Drosophila melanogaster: one gene and its partners. The protein of the gene in region 2 interacts with the protein of the main gene of each other region in a pairwise test. Each region holds a gene or a part of one and is shown on either strand. Other genes may lie near its edges. The genes, in order: CG12158, CG32450, CG14232 and Syx6.

Evidence for each region.
Region 1: the proteins of CG32450 (region 2) and CG12158 interact in a two-hybrid assay, tested with the Drosophila melanogaster proteins (one large-scale study listed by BioGRID).
Region 3: the proteins of CG32450 (region 2) and CG14232 interact in a two-hybrid assay, tested with the Drosophila melanogaster proteins (one large-scale study listed by BioGRID).
Region 4: the proteins of CG32450 (region 2) and Syx6 interact in a two-hybrid assay, tested with the Drosophila melanogaster proteins (one large-scale study listed by BioGRID).

Annotation. Positions count from the first base shown.
Region 1 is NT_033778.4:9,361,688-9,364,707, forward strand, and holds CG12158 (uncharacterized protein), read right to left. Parts: upstream 1,220-3,020; 5' UTR 1,203-1,219; coding exon 1,149-1,202; intron 1,095-1,148; coding exon 963-1,094; 3' UTR 887-962; downstream 1-886.
Region 2 is NT_037436.4:22,327,599-22,331,495, reverse strand, and holds CG32450 (uncharacterized protein), read right to left. Parts: upstream 1,719-3,897; 5' UTR 1,603-1,718; coding exon 1,339-1,602; intron 1,280-1,338; coding exon 1,067-1,279; 3' UTR 839-1,066; downstream 1-838.
Region 3 is NC_004354.4:19,701,295-19,706,520, reverse strand, and holds CG14232 (uncharacterized protein), read left to right. Parts: upstream 1-2,261; 5' UTR 2,262-2,382; exon of another isoform or gene 2,383-2,458; 5' UTR 2,459-2,502; coding exon 2,503-2,632; intron 2,633-2,690; coding exon 2,691-3,118; intron 3,119-3,323; coding exon 3,324-3,788; intron 3,789-3,847; coding exon 3,848-4,267; 3' UTR 4,268-4,533; downstream 4,534-5,226. Other genes in the region: CG14230 (uncharacterized protein), read right to left, coding at 179-345, 408-1,515, 1,582-1,871, 1,933-2,110; Tcs4 (Threonyl-carbamoyl synthesis 4), read left to right, coding at 4,793-4,977, 5,033-5,226.
Region 4 is NT_033778.4:11,218,042-11,223,106, reverse strand, and holds Syx6 (syntaxin 6), read right to left. Parts: upstream 3,174-5,065; 5' UTR 2,784-3,173; coding exon of another isoform or gene 2,749-2,783; 5' UTR 2,727-2,748; coding exon 2,486-2,726; intron 2,180-2,485; coding exon 1,478-2,179; intron 1,324-1,477; coding exon 1,247-1,323; 3' UTR 769-1,246; downstream 1-768. Other genes in the region: CG9084 (uncharacterized protein), read left to right, coding at 3,940-4,024, 4,725-4,901, 4,944-5,065.

The DNA of each region.
Region 1 (3,020 bases), on a different chromosome or scaffold from region 2:
TAATGGCCATTTTCAGTGCTTCCCTTCCCTGTGAGACTCTACATATGTACATACATATGTATGTATGTACGTATAGTATGTATCCTTTTTGACTGATAGCGATAGCATAACTTTTTCGGTTAGTCTCCGAGGTGCATTCACACATGGCTGCATTTCAGTTGCTGAAGTAGAGCGGCTTAGAAGGTGTTTTTCCGGGAATTGCAAGGGATGTCGGTTGGGAGGGGATTGGGTTCTCCGGCGACTTTGAACAGAGGGTTAGCTGCATCCAGACTCCGGCAGTCATAATGCAATTATGCACTGCCTGGCGGCACAGCTCCTTTGGTACGAGTAATAAGCATTTGCATTTTCACAGAATGTAGAACACAAGTCGCTGAAGAAGTTGCGCTTTGTAGGTTTCCATCGCTCCGAATAGCCCGGCATTGAAACCCCTTTGTAACCCCTTTCCTGGCTCATCAGCCGGAATGGACCTATGGCCATGTGCGCGGGGTTGAGGGGTGAGTTTCATGCTCATAATTTGTGCACTTTATTAATAAAGTTTTCCAAATTGGCTTGGCCCAGACGCAGTGCAAATACACAAAGCGAGGAGGAGAATGAATATACAAAAAAAGTGTATAACAATTGTAAAACAATATGGCTCTAAGAACTTGTGTAAAACATAACATTTTTTTTAGTCACATACATAAACAGAAACGCGGGCCTATATTTTCAACTGATAGTGGAAGTTTTCAGAGCCTTTAAGATGACAAATCTATTCAGTCATGTTATTTTCCCTTCGATTTCAATTTGCTTTAAGATTCTACCCTCGAATTTCTCTTTTCCCTTTGACCATTAATATCGAGCTTGCCTTTCTAAGCTTACGGGGTTCAAGAAACGAAGTTTTTAGTTTGCTGGGGAAAGTGTTTATTTAAGTAACTGGGAAAGTGGCGAGGAGGTGTGTGTCCCCCTCCAGAAATATCCCAGTTCTAGTTGTTCTGCCCGCTTTGTCCTTGTCCACTCTGCTGGTTGCCGTTTCCATTGCCATTTGGCGGTCTTGGCGGCTGTCCCTGCGAATGTCCATTTTGGCCCTGGGCGGCCACCTGCAGCGGCATTTGTGCCTGGAAAACCTCTGGTTAGGCCAAGTGGATGATTGAAAACCCTTCAACTCTTACCAAACCCACAGCCAGAATTAGAAGGAAGATGCTGAACAATGCGAACTGCTTCATGTTGAATTTGAAACTAGTAAACTAACAACACATGTGGTCTTTTATAGTCATACAGCACAACTGCGGTTCCCAAGAGATTATAATCCAGTGCAATTAACCATCGCAGTGAACAAAATGGCAAAATCAGTTTGTATGTTAATAATGCCATTCTGTATTATTTTGCTCGCTCGAATCTGATTTATAATGTCGTAATTGCGTGTGACCCGATCTGATCGCATATACAATATATTAAAACGACAAAATAACTCCAAAGGGGAGCCATCATTTTGCTGTTTAATTGGAAAAACAAATTTGAAAAAATTAGCCAGAATATCTCTCAAATGTCACTAAGGTCATCATATCATAGCTATAATTAACTAAAAATGTATAGATTGAGCTCTAAATTTAATAACATTTTGGACACGCCAAAACAAATACGTTTTGCGAAAAATTAACTTGGATGGTAAGAATTTATAAGTCAACATATAGCGATCTGATTCACACTCTGACTTCAAAAGCTATATTGATTATAAAATATTTGGGCGTTTTATCTTTGATAACATCAGAGCGTCATAAGCAGTTACTGAAAAATAACCACTAGGTGGAGCTCGTGTGCACTCACGGAAGCAGTCGGAGTAACAGGTATCTGATATTCGATACTTTTGACACTGTCTCTGGTTTTTTGTATCTTGTCTTGGTAAACTATTTTCCTAAAATATTCCAAGTGGCATATTAAATTTCCTTAGCCTCGCACTTTACGAAGCTTTCGAAATCAATTCATTTAGGCACTATTACATTTTCATAAAGTTTGTCTAGGCAGAGTAAACCGTCAATTATTCAAACTGGATTTCCTATTGCTGCTCGGTCTTTTAATTTGAGCGTATGCTCAAACAATCCAACACACCAGCCACCCATATGCCACCATTCTTTGACTGACACTACACGTTTTGAAAGAGATTCGCACACCACCCACCATCCACCTGCCATCCAACTGCCACCGCCCATTCACTTGCCCCTCGCCATCACCTTGGGGGCATGGTCGGGCAAAGCAATTTCGCTCGGCATTTTCGAGCGTTGAGTGGCAAAATGTCTTCGGTTTCAGCTTGAGATTAAATTCTGCCGAACGTTGGCCAAACAGAAACAAGACTTTCTAGTTTACACAACAACGATGGGTCCCGCCCGCCGATTCACCTGTCACCACCTATGGGCACATCGATGTTTGCAGACTGAAGGAAGTGCATATAGTTGAATTATTTAGTTACAATTGATACAAGTATAGGTAATTTCTAATGTTAAGTTGGGAGGCATTCTTGAAATTAATCTTCTAAGAACTCTATTACAATAATTTTGAAAAATTAAAATAAACTATAAGAAACATACATATGCGTATGATAGTAACAACAATGCAAGCAGTTGCAGAAATAATTTTTAAAAATATTATAAACGACTTTGTGCAGATTTCTTACTGTGTACTTGTGTGGGTTTTTTTCGGTTAATAAATGTCCCTGCCACAGCGAAATATGAATATTGAATATGCCCATAGTCGCGAACTGAGCGGCTGAATAAACCGCAAGCGAGTGGCGAACCCATAACGCCTTATAACCATTTCGGCACTTTTCAGGACGACGGAGGAATAGCCAAGGATTTGGATGGCCATATGGGGGAAGGAGGGCGGTAAATTCGGGTAGCAAGACGACACCAGCATACATTGTGGATGAGCACTAATGAAGTCTCAGCCCTCGTCCTTTACAGTTGGCTGCCTCATTGTTTGACTTTGACTTTGCCACTACCTTTCACTACCAACGGCCCCGCCCACTTTTCCACTTTGCACACTCACAA
Region 2 (3,897 bases):
AACCAACAAAATATTTGTGCTGCCAACCTGGGAGAGGCACAGGTTTCGAATAAATAAAATAGGACAAAAAAGTAAAAGGAAACTCGGATCATAGAAACCGAGAGGAGCAAGCAAAAATATTTGCACTGGCATTCCCATATTATTTCTGCTCTTGTTACTCCTGCTCCTGTTGCTGTGTTTGTTCTTGTTGCTGCTGCTGCTGTTGTTGTTGTTGTTGTTGCTGTTGTTGTTGTTGTTGTTGTTGTTGTTGTTGTTGGTATTATTGTTGCTGGGGGTCCAGAGCAAGGATTATAAATTATAACAGCCTCACACGGTTATTTATGTCATGTCAATGGGAAGGGGTGTCACACGGAAGGGGATATATCATCAATGCATGCGCTTAGTTGAGTGGAAATAGCTGCGAAATAAAACTATGCATTCGGGACTGGCTTTAAAGTGGAGCAGGCCGAGATGAAAGGGACTTAAATCGCAGCCAGCCCCAGGATCCCATCGCACCGCACCACAGCGCAGCGCGCTAAGCCAGAGATCTGCTTTGAAGCTTTTGATTTATTTGCTTGATGGCAAATCATTAATTTGCTTTGAGCCAGAGCAAAAAGAAAGCACGAAGCTTAGCATGCTTTTCAGCTGCTGTCAGATTTTCGGGCGACAAACAACCACCGCACGAGCAAAAAGGCAGCCGAAAGAAGCAAATTTAAATAAAACGCAAACCAACAAAATAATCCGACACATGCGCTGCCAAATGATTACCCAGGACTTGGCCCCAAAACCCCCACCTAATCCTATGTGCAATGTCTTTCCCTTCGCTCTGCGGGGTTCAGTGTGTTTTTGCAACATAAAAAACCAAACAATCACTTCATTTTATTGCGCCAAACGAGAAAGCCCAAAGCTGACACTTTTCCAGTCGCAAAAAAGGTCTCAATCATTAAACGGAATTGAAGGATCATATCGATTTTGTTGCTTAGAAGGGTACAAAGCCTGGTTGGATTCGAGAAGGTACTTTCCTCGATTCTCGATTTTAAGATCCCCAGTCATATCCGAGTGGGGATCCAACTGAGTGTTGATTTAATTAATCATCGGATCTATCGGTTTTGCGCAGCCAGTGGGCATTGCTGCTTTCACATCTCTTTGCTTTTGGTTCGGATGGATCAGTGGTTAATAGGAGGGGGTCAGAAATGTCCTTTCGCTTCCAGATTCCCTGCTTGTATTCCGGACCGTACTTGTCTTTCATACGCTGTTCAAGCTCGTACAATTTTAATGGTGTCCGTTTAGCCACTGTATGCTGCTCGAGGTCAGACTTGGTCAGAGGTCAGGGGCTATAGGTCCACGCACAAAACTTACCATACTCCGCACATATTTGTACACCCCATAGCCGATGCAGGCCAGAATTAAGGGAACTACCACAAACAGCCCCACGTTTAAACTATTCAGCTCGGGATCGCTGACCACGTGGGTGACATCGACGGTTTCCAGGGCAAAGGGTGGGTAAAAGAAGCGAATGATCTTATAAGTGGCATTGGCCAAAGTATGTTTTGGAAAAGGCTTCACGATGTCCACAAACCTCAACGACCAGTGCGAGTCCGGCGGCGGTACCGTTATATCCATATTTTTAAAAAAATGTATATAGAGAATGTTAAACCAAAAAAAACAGCAACGTCGAATTTTAGATTGTTCTAAAGCGACTTCTACTTGGTACTGGACAAGCAGCACTCTAAAAATGACTGATCCATCAAGGGCAACTCAATTAGGCCCGGTATTCGTGAAAACCCTTTAGCCAGACATAAATCATCGCCTACTTGGGAGCCCCGGAATGGCGTCATTGATTTATTAGCAGGACATACGCTCGAATCGATGCTGCTGGTGAAAAACTAGCGACAGAAGTGGCGGTGGAAAATGAAGCTAAAGTGGGAGCTGAGCAAAACCAGCCAAACCATCATCAGTCACCAGGCAAACAAACACGACGAGGACCCAAAGCGCAACGGCGTCATATACAAAAAGTGCTTGCATACATTACCCCGGAACCCATGAGCCGGAATAGATGTGGGGCGAAGGACCAGGGTCGCAGGACACGGTGTGCGCGGCAGAGGAAAGGACGCGTGCTTACTGCCAGAAACACGTACAAGAAATCATGAAATGTTGCCGCCATCATACCGAAAATTGTACGGGTAACGTGCAAGCAATCAAAGTACATGGAGGCAGGACTAGGCAGGACTCGACTCGAATCGACTGCGGCAACTAGAGCGCCTCGACATTGCCAAGGCCTGTGTGCTCCTCGAGCAGCGCCCACACGTCTGATTTTTACTACACACGTGTGCTGATGTGACGTCGACAGGATTGTGACTGCCTACTGACAACACTAGTGGGCCTTCTCCTTCTTTTGGCCTTCTGGGTCCTAGACTCCAACTGAGCATCTGGTTCAGACCAAGACCGAAACCGAAACCAGTCTGGCCGAAATGTAAAGTATAGTTGACGCAGACGTGCCAAGCTCGACGTGGCTGTCGTAGATGCTGCTTTTTGCTGTTTAAGTAAGCATGCAAATGTCACATGTAGACGGTAGTCGGTACTCGGTAGTTGGCGGTATCGGCAGGAGGGGATCAAGGGGAAGTGGGCGTGATAAGCACTCTCAGTTATGAAGGTGGGCATTGCTTGGTTTTCGGGCTCGCCGTTTCTTGCCCCTGCCACACATAAATGATGAGGTACACGTTGCCTCAGGCTGAATTTAGTGATTTCCCCGAGCATGTGGCATACTTTTTATGCGGCTCCTCCACGTGAGCATAAGGAGCTTCGGTTTATGGTTATTGATTCAGCCGAGCGGAGGTGGAGATAGTTTGAGTTATGGCCTCGGTCTGATTTGTGTCAGCAGGAAGTTTAAAAGAAATTGTTGCGCACTTTCGGGAGGCCAAAAGTGGATTACTCAGAGGGTTGCAGGCAGGTCCCCTGATTGAATTGGCTTAGCTGGGGGCGTACGGAACGAGATTGGATTGGATGGGGATGGGGACTTGCAATCAAAAGCCTAGTTTGTTGCTGCCTTCGCCAACCTCATCGTATTGGCAAAAGGTGGCAACCCTCGATCCACTCATTGTTCGATCAAAAATTCATGGCATACCCGTACGTTGGAGAGGTGCCAATAACTCGGCTGCTCCACTGACAATCGCCACTGTCTGTCTGCCCGTACGCAATTTACAATTACCGCACGCACACACAATTTATTTTGCAGCGCTAACAAATAAGCTAAACATTTTCGTGGCCAAGGGCCGTCCCGCTCCCAGGTGTATAGCAAATCAAAAAATCAGACAGGGCTGGGCACGAAGACACGCCAGGCAATCAGTTAAATGTTTGTTGAACTCACCAGCGTCGAGGTCCTTAAGTTCTCAAGAACGCACGACTCGCCGGTTTCGAGGAGTCCCAGGGGCTTCGCTTCTCCGCTCTCGATGCGCTCCTGCCCTTTTCCGAAAATTGAACTTGTTGGCGCCCAGAACGCAGAGCCCCGAAACCGCACCGAACAAAAAAGACGGAGAAGCAGCTCCGCAGAACGATGAAGCGGCAACTTGAAAAATCGCTTGTCGCACTGCAAGCGAAGTGACGGGGAACGCTCACGCGCAGTCGTAGTGATTTGGCTTTAAAAAAGCAAGGAACATTCCGGAGTTCCGGGGCAGGAAGCAGACAGCAAAAGACGCTATGAAAGCTGCCACGTAATGAAACTGACAATTTAACTCACAGTCAACCAGTTGTTTTGGATTTCAGTACGGGTTCGACGGGGAGCTGTGTGCGTGCTGAAAAATCGTGTTATCGATTTAATGCGTTACGATATATAAGTATATACAACCCTAGTGTGTGTGCAGATTGAAGGGTTGGGCTGGGTTGGTTTGGTTTCGATTCGGAAAAAGGGTTGCTTGCCTT
Region 3 (5,226 bases), on a different chromosome or scaffold from region 2:
TAGTTGGAGCTGCAACGGGGCTCAAATGCATTTGTGCAGTAACTAAAGCACAAACATTTCATTTTTTTTTTTTGTAATCTAGATGAATACATGTACCATTTACAAAAAAAAAAAAGAACAATATTGGTTTATTTTACACAGGATTATGCTTAAGACTAAGGGTATAATTTAACCTAGATCAGTTTTTTCCCTTTTTATTCCGCTGCAGCTTGATATCCTTGCTGGGCAGGCTCTTCTTCGCCTTGGCGATCTTTTTGGTGATCAGCAATTTCAGGCGGTTCTTCACTTGGTCATATTCGGCATGGTCAACCACCGCCTTCGTGGACTTGAAAAACTTGGCGCCCTCTGCAAAGAAAAGACGATCGCTTGTTGAGAATGAAAAAATACGCACAGATTCACGTTCTTACCCTTGAGACGAGGATCGTTTCTGGGTATGAAGAAGGACTCCAATTTGTTTTTGTTCCTCTTTTGACCCGACTTCTTCGCTGGCTGGGCCTTGTTCTCCTTGCTGACCTCAAGCTCCTGCTCCTGCTCCTGCTCTTGCTTCGGCTTTACTTCGGTTTCGTCTTCGCTGTCGGACGAGTCGTAGGAGAACGGATTGAGAGTGGCCAGTCCGAGCTTATTGGCAGACGTCTTGCCCACCAGGATCTTCTCATGGCCCAGCTTCTCCAACTGGTCCTGGCGCTTGGCCACCTCCTTCTCCGGTGCACTGCCGAACATGTCCAGCAGGCTGAAACCCTCTCCACGCGTGTTCAGCGAATCCCTCAACGTGTCGGTGACAATGTAAAAGGCCGTCTTCGAGACGGCTGAAGCTTGACTGTTGCCCGCGTCGGCGGTCTTGGCTTTCGTACTGGAAGTCTCCTCCTTCTTCTCCTCCTCCTCCTTGGGCTGCTTTTGGCGCATTAGCTTCTGATGGCCCTCCTTGGCCGGATCGAAGCGCAGCATCTTTTTGTTCTTTGGCGACTTACCGTCCTTATCGTTCGCACTGGTGATCGCGTGTCCCACAACCTGCTCCAGAATGTTCATGTGCCATTTGCGCTCACTCTCCTCCGGCTCAGGCTGATCCTCCAGCTCCGCCTCTTCCTCCTCGTTCACAAAGTTCGATGTGATGCGGAAGCGGGGATCTATACTCTGTTTGCTCTGCATCTCCACCAGACGCTCGCCCTTCTTGCCCTTATGCTGCGGCAGGACGATCTGCTCCTCTTCCTCATCGTCGTCGTTCTCGAACAGATCCCGCTTTTGTATCTTGGCTTTCTGGACGGGCTTGGACGCCTCCTCCTCCTCGGCGTCGCTGAATTTTATTCTCTTTGCCTGACTGCCTTCGACTGATATCACAGATAGCGCCTGCTGGATGGCTGACTTCTTTTGTTGGTGTCCCTGACGCATCTTGTTGAGCGACTCCTTGCGCTTCTGTTCCGCCTGGCTGACATTGGCGTCCGGCTTCTGTTTGGCTGCCTTGCGGTGCTGTTCGATGACATGGAGTGGCTTCACGTCGTGCTCCTGCTGGATGACAATCTGTGGGAAAGGAAAGGAAAGGAATTTAGCTGACAATGAGCTTGGGAACAATGAGTGCGTGCATACCCGGCCATTGTGCATGGAATTGGCGGCGCGCTTCTTGGTAATCAGCAGCTCTGGAGCGACCTCATCATCACCAATCTCCTCATCCTCTCCGAATACCCTGCGCTTGTTTTGGCCACTTTGCACCAGGAGCTGAGAGCTCGGCGCACGCACCTCGGACTCGTCTGGCTCGCCCTGTTCCCGGCGCTGGTTCTCTTCGCGTTCGCGCTTCAGTCGATCCAAAAACGATTCTTTGGCAAGAGAAACTCTTAGCTTTTCGCCGTGCAACTTCTGCCATTTGAGCTCGTTGACGCCTACAAAACCAAGCTATGGTTACTCCTTCCGTCTGGCTGTGATCTTCCGCGGATAACTTACAGTACTGGGCATCATCCGTCTGCACGGTGACGAAGGCAATCACCTTAGTGGCCCCATCCTGCTCCTTGCGCTTCAGATCCACGTGCTCTACGTGACCGTAGTCCTGGAACAGGATCTGCAGGTCCGACTCCGAGGTCCTGGTCGGCAGATCCGCCAGGAAGAACCGAGTGCTGCCCATATTATGTTTACGCTTGCAATGCACGTGTAGAATCCAAATCCCGGCAAGAATTGCTGTGGGCCAGTGTGACCGCGGGCAGATAAAAACTTACACTTAAATATAGCCACAATTCCAATTCCCAATTGCTTTATACAGGTTTTTAACAAGTCCAAGCAACACTAAACCAGCTTTCAAATTTATTTAGCAACTTTGTAAATAGGCAAATACATTAAGTTAGACAAAAATAATCCCCATCGGTCAGTGTTGCAAGGCGAGCAATACAATTACTTTAGGTGCGCAGCTGGCTGGTCACACTGGCAGCAGACGTCACAATAAATTCTATTATTTTGTTTTGTTTTGTGCGAAAAGTTTGCAGGCCAGCAATCGTGGACTAGCCCACAAACAACGGCAGCATGGCGAGCGGGACAAGCGGCACAAGCAGCAGTGAAACGGCCCAGTCGACGGACATGGCACCATCATCGGCCGAGAAGTGGGGCTTCCCTTTGATTGAGCTCTACCGCCTGGCATTCACGTTCTACAAGCGTAAGAGCAGAGATCCCGGCACTAGCGCACCAATAACGGCTAATCTCACATATTGCAGGGAACTCCGGCAAGGCCATCCACTTGTCGTACGAGGACAACCTCAAGCTGATCGCCTTCAAGCAGCAGGCGGCGCTGGGCCCCTTCAACACGAGTCGCGCCCCGGCGCTGGGCGTCCTGGACGTGATCGGACGCGACCGGCAGCAGCACTGGCAGCTGCTCGGTGAGATAACGCGCGAGCAGGCGATGGAGGGGTTCGTCGACCTGCTGGACACAATGTGCAGCGCCTTTCGGCCGTACATTGAGGCCGTGCGGCAGGACCGCGACGAGACGCTGCGCAAGGAGCTGCGCCTCATGGAGGAGAAGAAGGAGGCACGCGAGCGGCAGGAGAACGCCCAGCAGGAGCTGCTCGAGGAGGGTTACAAGGAGGAGCTGCAGCGCCGCCAGCTGCAGGACGCACTCAACAAGCAGACTTACCAGCAGTTTAAGGTAGCCCATCGATTTTTTCAACAACACACCGGCCCGGCCCTCTGCACCTGTTGTTGTGCTAAATAATGCATGATAATTACTGGGTGCTCGGCCTTGGCTGCGCTGTCTGCCATTGAAAAGGGGTCATGACCCAGTTCTCAGGCAATTGCATGCCAGCTCCTGTACCATTAACTTGGCCCTTCTAACGCTTACACTCGTTCCACAGCTGTACGCTGAGAAGCAGTTCCCCGGAAACCCCGAACAGCAGGCCGTGCTTATCCACCAGCTGCAGCGGGAGCACTATCACCAGTACATGCAACAGCTTCATCTGCAGAACCAGAACCAGAATCAGAATCAGAACACGGAGGACAAGGGACACCAGGAAGCAGAACACGTCCCTGGCAATAACAACAACAGCTCAACCGACTTGCCCAACGCCATGGAGGGACTGAAGCTCGGTGAGGTCGAGACACAGCAGCACCAGCAGCTGGCCGAGCAGCAAGACGGGCATGTAGAGCAGACGTTGGAGGGCGTTGGGCAGGAACAGCACGGCGAGGAAGAGTACGACGACTACGTTATGATCTGCCCGGCCAAGATCTGGACTCGTCCCGACATCGAGCAGTTTAAGACTGAGGTGTCCGCCGGCGATGGGGACGGCGTCATCACCATTGGACACGGCGACACGGTGACGGTAGGTGGCAATCAACTAATGACGAAACAAGGCCCATATTGACCGGCACAATTTTGCAGGTCCGTGTGCCCACCAACATGAACGGCAAGTGCATCTTCTGGGAGTTCGCCACGGACAGCTACGACATCGGCTTCGGCATCTACTTCGAGTGGGCCAAGCCCGTGACCAACGAGGTGACCGTGCATGTGAGCGACTCCGACGAGGACGAGGATTGCGTGGACGAGGACTACCTATCCACCACCGAGGACCTGGAGTCCGGCTCGCTGTCGCAGGAGCGCGGCGCAGTTAACAACCCGACTGCTGCCCCCAAGGCACCCATTTCCATTATCGTACCGATCTATCGACGGGAGTGCTACAACGAGGTCTACGTGGGCTCCCACTCCTATCCGGGCGAGGGCGTCTATTTGCTGAAGTTCGACAACAGCTACAGCATCTGGCGCAATAAGACGCTGTACTACCGCGTCTACTACGAGCGTTAAGAGGCCAAAATGTATTTACTTACCACTAACTTAGATGAATCCTATCTCCGTACGAACGGCTAATGTGCAAGTCCGGAATAATCTGTATGTGCGTGTGCGTGAGGTTTTGGTTTTACGTGTGCGTTGCTGCAATTCCGGGAAACAAGCGGCGGGAAAAGACCATGCCGATTTCAGACTAAACCAATATTATTTATTATTTAGTTGTAACCGACGAAGACAAGTCCAAAATTCAATTTGAAACTAATAAACAATATAAAGACAACTGTAAATAATCACTTTTCGAAATCTCTTTGCTTCTTAATGAAGAATAAATTATTCGTAAAATTCACTTAGGAAACTTCTTCATACGACACAATTGCTATTACCAATTTTGGGCATTGAAACAACTATTATTATTATTTTATATTAAATAAAAATTGCATTAAAGTATAGTTAAGAATTTGGCTCGTGTAAGGGGCCCTAACACTAACGGTCCCACGATTTGCTGGTTGTGGTTTCTATCGGTGCCTGGTCACACTGGCCATTATGCATGCACTTCGTAATTTTGCCGGCAATGGAATAGCAAATGTATTTGGCTGTGGGATCAGGCGCCGGCTCAGCTATGTCCTGGGCATCGAGACCTCCTGCGACGACACGGGCATCGCCATCGTGGACACCACGGGCCGAGTGATTGCCAATGTGCTGGAGTCGCAACAGGAGTTCCACACCCGGTGAGTGCTCACATCTCCGCATGCGGTGCCCAATGATGAACTGAATCGATTGCAGCTATGGAGGCATTATTCCGCCCAGGGCCCAGGACCTTCACCGCGCCCGCATCGAGTCCGCCTACCAGCGCTGCATGGAGGCGGCGCAATTGAAGCCGGACCAACTGACGGCCATCGCGGTGACCACGCGTCCCGGACTGCCGCTGAGTTTGCTGGTGGGCGTGCGCTTTGCACGGCACCTGGCCCGTCGCCTGC
Region 4 (5,065 bases), on a different chromosome or scaffold from region 2:
CCACAAACATCCGAGAGGAAGTCGAATTTTGGGTTACTGCATATTTGGGGGTGATAATGGGTGGGTATGTTCACTTCACTGCGCACTGTCACTCACCAAAATAACTTTGAATGCCGCTTAGCCGAAGTAATTCAACAATTGAACATTTCTACCGGAATATCAGGAGATATATATATATACTATATGCCAACTGCTGGGAAAACTCCAGCTCCGCGGAAAAGGCAAACAACACTGAATGCCGAAACCCGAAAAACATCACATGGAAACGTGCCGCTCTGCCCGTGTGCTTATGCTGTGACCCAGTGGCGTAGTCCGGATTCCCCGTAGGGGTTATGTTTCAAGCCTTTCGAAGATACCCCTTTGGTTGCGCCACTGTGCGCAGACTGTAAGCTCGCCAAAAAGCTCCGGGCAAAAGCATGCAACACAGCTGAGTGAGTGGGCAAATCGAGTGGGCTGTCGAGTGGTTTTGGGGCGCAGAGAGAACATGAGAAGGGGCCTGATACCCTCTCCTTGTGCACAGAGAAAAATTTGGTATTAAATACCATTTTCCAAATCATTGATCTATCAGAAGATAACATCTTGACTAATCCTACTATCCTTAAAAACATTAAAAAATTTGAAAGCTTGTATTTCCAATTTTTGTTTAATTTAGGCTTTCAAAATAGCGAACAAATTTTTGTATATGTATACAATTTCTCTCTGTGCACTCATACAGTATTTCTAGGTGACCCGTAAGAAGTACCTCATTTGGCTTTAAATTAGGAATTTAATTTATAAGTATATATATTTACTCAATTGCATACAAGTTTTTGCTAGATTTGGTTAGTGAAATTTCCTAAGACTCTTCGTTAAATAACTCGTTTGATATTGGTAGGTCCATTTTGTTTGTATGTATATATATGCAGATATATCCTTCGATGTATATACAGCTTACAGTTGCAGTATCCTTTGGCCAAATTGGGAATGACAGAACTCTGGAGCACTTGGTTTATATGTAAGTAGTTAGTTATCTTTTATTACCCGCCTACATTGACTTTACATGATCATTTGTCCGTAGCTTTGGAATTACATTATATATATATAGAGAGAGGCGGCTGGTAATAAATCAGGTTAAAATGTTTCCGTGTATATACAGCAAGGGAGTTTACATGGAATTGTAATTAAGAGCCCGAATTCAAAAGCAAGCTAAGTCATAAATAAATCTAATTTACACTAAATATAAACGATTTGGGAACAACGAAAGCAATTACAAAATAATAAACAAAATTATCACAAACAATAACAGTCCGGATAGGATGAGAATGGCGGCCCACTGTCGTTTATCTGTGAAAGAAGATGGATACAGTTAAGAATTAGGAATCAGAAGTCACAAAAGTATTCAATGGGTAATTTTGATTGTGGTTCACTGAAGCATTTACTCTTCATTAATATTTCAATCAAAATAGTCCTTGAATACCACAAGTGCCGCACCACTCACCATTATTCATGTGCAAGACTTTGGCAACTTTCTTCATGGTCGTATCCAACTTGGACTCCGTGGTATCGAACTCGTTCCCAAAGTCGTCTAGCATGACGGCCTGCTCATCGAGCTCAACGCCAATTTGCCGCGAGACCGTCTTGAGGGTACCAATCGAATCGCTGATCATGTCTAGCTGCTCATCCTGTCCCTGGATCATACGCTGCTGTATGGACACTGTTTCGCCCACGTACCTATGACTCGGACTGTCCATGCCGCCGTGATGCGTCTGCCCATAGTGACTGGGACTGTCCAGGGCGTTCTCCAGCTTGGAGTACTTGGTGCCGCTGTGGCGGGATGCTGCTGCCGCTGCCGCCGACATGGTCCCAGCTATGGTATTGGCCACCTGACTGCCGCTATTGATCAGCGAGTTGCCGTTGGGACACTCCACGAGGTACGTGCGATCGTTGTGTGGATGCTGATGGTACTCGTTGGAGTTGGAATTCGAATTGGGTATGGCAATGGAATGATTGTGATTGGGGCTGTGGCGATCGTTGTCGAGCAGCGGCTGGTGTGCGGTGATGTCTCTGTCCCGGCTCCGGTTCAGGCTCATCTTATCCTTCATCTGCTTGACCTCATCGCGAGTGTTGTCGATGAAGTGGCGCCGGCTGGAGAGTTCGCGGTTGTCGATCCGAAACTTGCTTGGATTCTTCTCAACGATGCGTGTGAGTCAAAATGGTATGGGTTAAGGAGAAAACCGAGGAGACTGATGAGCTAGAAAGTCGGTTCTACCGACCTTAAGATACCAAGTACTCTTTTTTTACAATTATAGTGCCAAAAAAACAAGTTCTGTACAGTTTATTAGTATAATACTAATAAACGAGCGAATTAAATCACGAATAAATTGCATATTCAGCAATTTTAAATGGGATCTCAACCTCTTTATGCGAAAATAAAACAGACAATGCAATTCGATAAATGAGTACCAGGTAACGAATTGATTTTTCAATGGTCTTTGCAAAAGGATATTGATAGTGTCCTCGAGGTCCTCGAGATCCCACTCGATGCTCCGTAGCGAGTTACGCAGCTCGGTGGTGGTCCATTCAGCCTCCGTTCCGCCGTTCTCGCCCAGCTCCCGCCAACGCAGATAGAGGCCGCGGGTTTTGTTCAGAGCTTTGAATACCTCGCTGTTGGGGAAGGGGAGGGAAATGAAAGAAAAAACAGAGATATAAGTAAGATAGCACTTTCCACCAGCAGTGCATGTGGCCATCTGCCAAATCGGGGACACCTACTCCTTGACCACGAAAAACGGATCCTCCAGAGACATGCCGCGTTCTCTTCTTGCCACAAAACGAAAACTAACACTCCTAGCAGTTTTTCACCAGCGTGGCGCACTTGACGGTTCTTTTCATGGATTTTTCCGGGCGAAAACCACCCCCCAAAGGTACAAGGGGGCAAATTGCAAGTTGGCAATAGCAAAAGCACTTCGTGGGAGTTACATCAAAAGGCAAGCAAATGGGGAGCAAATTTTTGCTTTCAATCCGTTCTATATAGCAGGAATTTCACAATCGACTGGGTTTTATCTTTCGCCTAGCAGCGATGTTTGAACAGCACGTTTATTGATTATTGCACTTGGACCCGCTCCGCCGCTTATCGCTCGATTTCTTGTGGATTCCGCCGACTTAGCTGGTTCCACCGATGGCCCAGAGAACACTGTCGCTATTTGCGCTCCAGAGATTAAGCCCCCACCGAGAACCACTACCCCACTGGCATTTGTTTACGCCGCTCCCGCTCCAGCGGCTGCGCACTTTGGTTCCTTGATTACCAACCCCTTGACTAACCGATTTGAAAACAACCCGAATTTTGGCCAAAAAATTCCACAACAACAAATCGTCGGCCAAATGGCCAGCACTGTTGCAATTTTCATCGCTCGCTCACCTGCTGCTCGTCTCCACGTCATTTAGCAAACTTCGGTCCGAGAACACGGTGACGGACTTTAATTTCAAGTTCACACGAGACAAATTCTGATAAATAAATTTAAGTAAAGGTTTTATTTCTGTTTTGCTGCTAGCAAAATAAACCGTAAGGCTTAGTATGACCCAAGTGCGATAGCACGTTTATCCCGCGATAATTTAGTATATATCGCAAGTGCAGAAAATACGTTACTAAACAGTTTGAATCAGGTGGCAGCTCTGGATTTGAATATATATTTATCCACATTCAGCTTGAGCAGCATAAACGAATATTTTGAAAACCTGCAACATTCGCATGAATTAAAGTTTACAAAATAGCACTATAAATAAGCTATTATTACTATTTCACATGAGAACGTTCGTAATAGAGTATTAAAATCATCTGAGTCAGGAAGTGTGACCAGGCGAGGGGCACAAAGCACTTAACTTCCGTTGTGCTACTGCCCCACTGACCACCGTTATCAATTTCATTTAGACCGCCGTCAAATAAGTTTGAAAAGTGCTGGCGAAATGTTGCAAAACAACGCGGTGCGCACTTTGCAATACGACAGTGAGATCCGTGTGGCCCAGCAGCCAAGTCTCTCAGAACCGAGAGGTAATTTAGGGCATATGGCTTTAGAAAACGAATAAAAACAGCGAGTGAATCACCCTGGCAAAAGGGTAACCGAATTGTTACCAACTGATAAGCAGTGCACCGGATTAATTATTGTTGCGAGCGAGTGTGTCACACAGTTCGACGCAAAAATGCGGCCACAAGTTGGCTATATCTTATCGGCCAGCGTTTTGTTATGGTCTGCGACTCCTCAAGTGCCTTTGTTTGGGACGATCGAACCCAGCGATCAATCCGATAGTAAAACCGTACCCATGATATTAGCTGTATCCTATACCAACATTTTCCTATTCCAAGAAAAGTAATAAAATATTTATGTGACAAGATTATGAAAAAATCGAAAAACTACTAAAGTTTTAATCTAAACGATTTGTTATAACCACAAAATATTTTCAATAATATTGCTATTACTCAGAGCTATTATTAGCAGAATGTTCAACAACCATTTTTATTTAATTCAAATTCACTGTAAAATTATGATCTTAAAACTACAACTTTAAATGAAATTTAAATTTAATTAAAATATTAAAAACTTTCAAAATTCAATCTATGGAAAAGTTTGTAATACCCTAAAGATATGGAAAAGGTTTATAAAATCTTAGTTCAAAGATAACAATATGGACAACCTTACGATTCTGCTCGTATTGGAAAATGGTCTATATACGATTTGTTTGTTTTTCTTCAGTTTATGACTCCCATATCAGCATTACCTCACAACCCAGGCCGGAGGCTCCACGCATCCCGCTGCCAGTGCCAATTGCCACGGTTACGGGAAGCCGGACGCTTATCCCACTTTCCGGATACGATTGCCTAGCAGATCTGCCGTCCGTACATATTGAACAGACCTTTGAGCTTAACGATGGTAAGTACAAGCCCAAAAATTAGCTAAAATCGCTTCTAATAGTTCGTCTTCCCTTTGCAGCCCTAACAGGCGTCTCCTCGGAGAATCGATATGTGGTGCGATCTCCACTGGGTGATGCCATTTTCGCGGCCAACGAGAGTTCCACAGAAAAAAATCGACTACTT